2 linked regions of the Mus musculus genome follow. The protein of the gene in region 2 interacts with the protein of the main gene of each other region in a pairwise test. Links are inferred from orthologs where the notes say so. Each region holds a gene or a part of one and is shown on either strand. Other genes may lie near its edges.

Region 1 (3,568 bases), on a different chromosome or scaffold from region 2:
TGTGTAACTCCGGTCCCACTGGATCACACACCCTCTTCTGGCCTCTGTGAGCACCAGGCACACATGTGATGTACAAACATAAATGCAGACAGAATACTCATACACATAAAATAATTAAAAAACATAATGATATCAGGGGCCAACCAGGTGGCTCAGCAGGCAAAGGCTCCTGTGTCCAAGTCTGATGACCTGAGTTCAATGTTCAGAAAACACGCCGTAGGAGGGAAAACCAACTGACCTCCACTCACGCTACAGTAATCCCTCCACACATGCTACATAACAAACGTTATTTTTTTAAAATATTTGTTGGTATCAGAAGTAGTGAGATGAAAAAGAGCAAAAAAGTAGTGGCTGGAATGAGAAGTGTCCCCCACACTCTAAGGCATTTGAATACTTCCCAGTTGGTGGCTCTGTTTGCGGAGGTGTAGGTGGTTTGGCCTTCTGAGAAGGTACATCACTGAGTGGCAGGCTCTGAGAGTACAAAGCTTTAGGCACTTACAGTTTTCTCTGCTTCATGCTTATGGCTGAGATGTGAACTTTAAGCTCCCTGCTCCTACCAGCCACAGCTCTCCATCATGATGGACTCTATTCCTCTGAAACAAACCCTTCCTTCTGTGAGCTGCCTCGGTCATGGTGCTTGATCACAGCAACAGAAAAACCACAAATAGAATGGGCAACCTTTCTCTCCTTCTGCTGCTGCTGCACCAGCTAGCCCTGGGCTGCAAAGGCGCAAAGCTATATGGAGCTACCCTGCTGGGTACTCTGTGCTTCCTGGGGCTATGGTCAGGAGCAGGCTGGCTGTTCAAAGCCATCGCAGTGGTGTGACCATGTTATGGGCAGGTCAAATGGTTCCTTCTCGTGTACTGAGCCAGCAGTCTCCTACCTTCTCTCCTTTGTCAGTTGTCACCTCCGAAAGGGCCTGACTGTCTCTCGGGAAGCCATCCAGGGGGTCACGTGGTTCACCTTTGTTCAGTGCACTAGAGGGGTCCTGGCTTTCTGACAAGGCCAGTATCTGGTGGCTCTCATCAAACACCATCTGCAGCAAAGCCTACAGAAGGAAAAAAACATCAGGAAGCAGGAGGCATCCCAGCCTGAAACCATCATCCACACACCCAACTACTGCCACCTCAGCTCTTTCACTGAAAATTAAAACTTACTTTACTATTAGGCTGTGCTTAGACAGAAAACATTAAAGACCTCTCCCTCAGTGTTTTGTATCATATATAATTAAGGCACAAAGAATAAAGCAAAGATTAACTGTATTGGTTGGTTTTGTATCGACTTGACACAGTCTACAGTCATCAGAGGAAGGAGCCTCAGTTGAGGAAATGCCTCCCTGACTCAGGGATAACGTGCTGTCTACCGTTTTAATTCTTATCAGGCTGTAAAGCATTGTCTCAATTCAGGGTCAATGGGGGAGAACTCAGCCCACTACAAGTGGTATCTTCCCTGCATGATGGTCCTTTGATCTATGTGAAAGCAGGCTGAGCAAGCCAGTAAGCAGCACTTCTCCATGGCCTCTGCCTCAGCTCCTGCCTCCAGGTTCCTGCCCTGTGTGAGTTCCTGCCCTGACTTCCTTAAATGATGACCAGCAATGTGGAAATGTAAGGTGAATAAGCCCTTTCCTCCCCAGCTTGGTTTTTGGTCATGGGTTTTCACTACAGCAAAAGTAGTAGGCCCACCACCTGGGGGACTGGCATAGGACCAAAGAGGAGGACCTTCAGTGGGACTCCTATACTGTGATGGCCCAGGATGAGTGTAGCCCACCAATGGGCTAAGGCTGACCATCGGAAGGGACAGGTTTTTCTGTGTCACTGGGGCTGCCAATTCTCTGGGACATTAGTACCTTCATTTGCTTTGCATGGATCTCCTTCTCCTTCATTGCTCCTGGTGACTGGACAAACCTTCTAGAGAAAGGAACAGCAGCAGCAGCAGCAGCGACTAGGTCAGTGGTGGGAGTCTCAGACCCTTCTGAGCCCAGGGTCAACATCATAGCAATGTCTGGGCCATCACCTAGAAGCACACGGGGTCCGGGGTTGAAGCCACAGCATCTGTTTCCAACTACAGTGACAGCAACTCATGGCACATAAAGCACCGATTAGCACCAGGTAAAGGTGTCACCAATTTCCATAAAACACAAGTCAGAGGGAAATGAGCAAGAAAGGGAAAGCTTACTTTGCATGTCTGGCGTGTTGTCTGCTCAGGGTTATCTCAGCTCCTTACACGGCTGTACCCGCTCACCCCCACTGGCAACCACACCCCAGAAAGCACTGAGGGGCTGCCAGACAGTACCTAAGGCCTAGGTGCTTCTCACCCAGCACAGGGGTCAAGAATGCTGCGGACAGACAGGACACCAAGCCTAGACACGGGGTAGGAGCAGCTGGGTGGACAGCGGTGTCCACTCTGGATGTGCCTGGCTTGACCTGAGGTGGGATAGGGACGAGACTGTGCACAGTCCAGAACCTGTGGCACCAGACATCTAATGGGCAGGGGCTTTACAAGGCCTTGGGAGCATAAAAGCTGGATCTTCAGGCCTGTTGCCTGCAATAGCCTAAGAAAGCCTACAGGAACGTGCTGGCCAGTGCGGTACAGTGAGGGTCTGGTGCCCAGGGACTCAGCCTATAGAGGCAGCAGCCCCAGACCCACAGCGAGCAGAAGCATCAGGCCATCTCTCCCTTGATTGTGCTCAGTCTACATTCTCAGACATACAGTGAAAGGATTCACACCTTTCATAATGCTGGGGAGAAAGAAAGTGCAGCAAATGGAAGGAAATCCTAGAACTCATACGTACAGAGGAAGCCCAGACCCTCATTCTCAAGCATGAGGTGGGGAAGCAAGAGATGACACTCAGGAACTCACAGCCTTAACATGCTAACTCTTAGAAATGCGCCTGCCTCTCTTGCCTCCAAATTCTGCAATTTTTTTTTAACCTACTTAGTTGTTTATATAGGCACTGGTGTTTTGCCTGCATGTCTGTCAGTCTAAGGGTGTCAGATCTTGGAATTACAGACAGCCAAGGAGTACCATGTGGATGCTGGGAAGTGAACCCCTGTCCTTTGGAAGAAAGGTCAGTGCCCTATCCACCGAATAACTCTCCAGCCAATAGATGCTATTTTAACAGCAAATGTGATATGACAATAAGTCCTACACAGGTGTCCCCACTGAGTCCAACACAGGCCACTCAACTTTCCCCGCCATCCGCTCCATCTGAGTGTGAAGGGAAGGAACGTTCACTGCACGTTTACTTTTCTTTCCAAACGCTTGAAAAAGGTGCTAAGCAATGAGCTGAGACCTGGACCCCACCCCCCACCCCCAACACACGAAGACATTCTTAGGAGGCAAACAGAAGCACGTTGGCAACTTGTACTCAGGGAACAAGGTGACAGTGCATTTGGACAGCAGAGGACCTGGTGGAACCTTTGTAGTATCCTGAACTCTAAAAGTACACACACACACAATAATATATATATATATATATATATATATATATATATATATATATATATATATATATATACATGTATGTATGTATGTATGTATGTATATGTATATATAAAAGACAGACTCA
Region 2 (3,568 bases):
TTATGCTTGGGGAGCTTGCCAGCCCCAGAGGAAAACTTCTTTTCTACTAAAAGGACATAGCATCAAACTACCCACTAAGTCTGTATGTCTGTATGCACAGACGATGGTTAATGTGCAAACTCACAACCAAAGTGTCAACACAAGCTCAGCCACAAGTGGGACATCTACACCGCACCCCTCATCCGCCCTCCAAGGCTTAGGAACATTACGGGAAGAGGAGTGAAGCGGTGGATAATAGGGGGATGGAGAGAAGTGTCAGAATGTCAGTCAACATTCTATCATGAGCTGCCCTCTCTTATGAGCCCTCAACCCCACCCCCACCCCCACCCCCAGTCACATTTTCACCTGCACTATCAGGGAGAGGAATATAGGGAGAAAGAACAAAGGAGAAGTCTTAGACCTCAGCACTGGGTGGGGTGGTGCAAACTTATAGTCCCAACATTCACAAGACAGAAGCAAGAAAATGATCAAAAGGAGATCTCCACAGTGAAGTCTGGGCCAGCCAGAGCCACACAATGGTACCCTGCCGCAAATAACAACAACCACAAAACAAATGTACACCTCTCAGTGCAGCTGGCTATGGACAGTTAACCTTAAAGCCACAGGAAGAATTACATGAATAAAAACCAAAACTGAGTTGGATGTGGCATATGCCTAGAATTCCATTGTTGAGGAAGCTAAGGCAGGAAAATGGAGAGTTTTGGACAGCCTGGGCTACATAACAAATTCTATTCTCATGTTCATGTGTGCATATAAGCATGTATAGACACAGTTTCTTGGAAAGACAAGATACGATGCCACTATGCTTGGAGTCCACTCTGATCTCAGGTTCTATGGCTCCCCCAGGCCCACATGGCAGCAGCAACAGTGTCCCTCCTAGGACCCTGTGGCACAGGATGGCCACTTGCATCTTCAGAGGACACAGAGAGCCCACACACACACCGACAAGAGCACGGTCCATACTCACCGTGCTTCTCCTCATCCTCCAGCTCCCCTGACGGCACCTGAGCGGAAAGGAGAGAGATCAGGGAAGCCTTGTTACTTCAAAATAAATAAATAACAAAAACACAAAGAAACCAGACAGCTCACTGAAAAATTAGAGAAACTGTGTCTACATAAGCTGAAAAGCCAAGTCCTCACTTTTGAACGTGTGCCTAAGAACAGGGCCCTCGGGGAAACTAACCATGTCAATGTCTGCGATTTCTGACAGCTGAGGGGCAGCCTCCACCACAAACTGCTCGTCATCCTCATTGTCAGAGTTCTGGGAGTCGATGATCACACTGGAGACGGTTTTACCACTTCCCGACCTAAGCAGCAAGAGTCATTACATTAGAAGTGACGACCCATCAGCCACCAGTTGTTGTCAGCCCCTTGCATCTGGAAATACCACAGTTCTCAGAAAGGAGCTGAACTGCCATTGCCCCAGACAGGTGAAGGGAACTCTCAGGGAACAGTGGGAACAGGGAGAATATCACCTCCCACACAACAGCCTCCATGTTGCCCAGAGCTCCAGGCCACCCCAGCCCTCTACCCCAGCCTTTCTAGTCCTTTGGCTCTGCCCTGTTTGCTGACGTTGACTCTAAGATAGACCAAGGGTGGCACAAGTGGGCCCTGTGGGTCACGTGACTTGGGACCGACCCCTTTCACAGGGCCACGCCTCTATCCAATACCGCTGCCGTGTTTTCAGCTCGGAGTACCTGTTGTTTAACTCTTGCACAATTACACCTTCAGCTCTCTTCCTTTTTACACTTTGACAGTCTTCTATCTAGAGGTCAGGGAAACACAGCCAGTGCTGGCCCATGCTTTCTGAGGCATCTGATACATGAACACACGTATTTCTCCCTTTTGCCAATCTGGAATGCTTGCTGCTCTGTGGTTTAAGGCAGTGATCTAATCCTCTATTTCTTCAAGGTAAGTTTTTCTTTTTCCTAGTACTGAGTACTACACCCTACCAAGTCTTTCAGCACAGGCCCAGACCTTGGCATCCCACAGTCCAGCACTGGGGAGTGTGGCTTCATTGTGACTAGAACCCCCTGGCCAGGCAGCCTCACCTGTCTACCACCAGTGTCTCTGTGCTCTCTTGTCGTTTGACCCTGGGAGGTGCTGGCCGTGCACTCCCAGGCCGAGGTATTCTTCTAAAAAAATATTGGAAGGAAAAAAAACAGACTGTGAAACACACACAAATCTCAATGTGGACAGGACAAATAGGCAGGCCAGCACTAGTGTTCACTCCCATGCCACGGTCGGCATGACACTCAGACTCTCTGCAGAGGAACACCAGCCCCATTCAATGGGCACAGCTGCCATTCATCAGAGCACCACAGGCCTTCCCATTACTAGGAACTTCTCCAAACTGTACAATGCTCCAACTCAGGTACAAGAAAACTAGACAGGTAGTTTCCGCTTGCTTTGCACAAATAATCCCTTACGCCACAGAACAAGTGTTGACTGGGCAGCGGATGCTATGGCAGGAAGCCCCACACTGTCCTAGGCATGACCACACTCCCAAACCCCAGCGGAGGACACACCTGAGGCTGGAGGGAAGCTCACTGGGAACTTCCGCATTCTCCATCACCTCCGGCTTATCTTGGCCAGCAGGTCCAGCTTCTACTTCTGAACAGGGGACAATCCAATCAGCATTCAAAAAGAACTCAATAGTAACAAAAATAAATTTACTCAAATATAAATATCAACAAATTAAATATAAACATCTGAAAAGGCATCAGTCAAATAATTGAAATGCAAATGAACTCTTTTCACCCATCACTGATGAGGTTAAAACTGACAGACGTCAGACATCTAAATGTGGACATTTGGGGACATGGGCACACTCAAGTTCTGCTAATGCACAGTGGCTGACCAATCAAGGAATAAAGGGTGATGGAGCCAAAAGAACTGAGCCTGAGGAAAAGAACATCGTGCACAGACGGACGGACAGACAGACAGTGTGGCAATCGCTCAGAAGCTCTAGCCCACTCACATGTGCACTCCTCACAGAGCACAGTGACAGATCTCAGTCACTCCCGCGGGGGCCCCAGGAGTGTGTGTGCTTCAGTTATAAAAACAAAGACCATCAAATGCCTTTCACTTTGTCACGCTGGACTCCATTTCTAAAGTATCTACAATTACACTGGGTGCTGTATTCTTTGAACAGTCAGTACATAATTTTCTTTGTATTTTAAGACAAAGTCTTACTAGGTAGCCCTGAATGGCCTGGAGCTCTCTTATGGAGGTCTCCCTGACTCTACCGCCCAAGTGCTGAGATTGGAAGTGGGCAGGATCATCCGGCTAAAACACAGTGTTTTTCATTTTAATAAAAAGGCTAAGACAGCAAGTCACAAATCAAAATTACTAAGACAATAGAATTTATTCTACTATTTAAAACAAAATAAATTTATACTTCATAAAACAGTAAAATTAGAATTTTAACATTAGAAATAAACATTATGCCGGGCGTGGTGGCGCAGGCCTTTAATCCCAGCACTCGGGAGGCAGAGGCAGGCGGATTTCTGAGTTTGAGGCCAGCCTGGTCTACAAAGTGAGTTCCAGGACAGCCAGGGCTATACAG

Evidence for each region. The genes of interacting proteins can lie anywhere in the genome.
Region 1: the proteins of Traf3ip1 (region 2) and Pcnt interact in a two-hybrid assay, tested with the Homo sapiens proteins (2 studies listed by BioGRID and IntAct). The link is inferred for Mus musculus from reciprocal best matches to the Homo sapiens genes TRAF3IP1 and PCNT.

Annotation. Positions count from the first base shown.
Region 1 is NC_000076.6:76,383,858-76,387,425, forward strand, and holds part of Pcnt (pericentrin), read right to left. Parts: intron 2,014-3,568; coding exon 1,847-2,013; intron 1,049-1,846; coding exon 884-1,048; intron 1-883. UniProt on the Homo sapiens protein: Integral component of the filamentous matrix of the centrosome involved in the initial establishment of organized microtubule arrays in both mitosis and meiosis. Plays a role, together with DISC1, in the microtubule network formation.
Region 2 is NC_000067.6:91,518,623-91,522,190, reverse strand, and holds part of Traf3ip1 (TRAF3-interacting protein 1), read right to left. Parts: intron 2,614-3,568; coding exon 2,529-2,613; intron 2,136-2,528; coding exon 2,052-2,135; intron 1,308-2,051; coding exon 1,184-1,307; intron 1,005-1,183; coding exon 968-1,004; intron 1-967.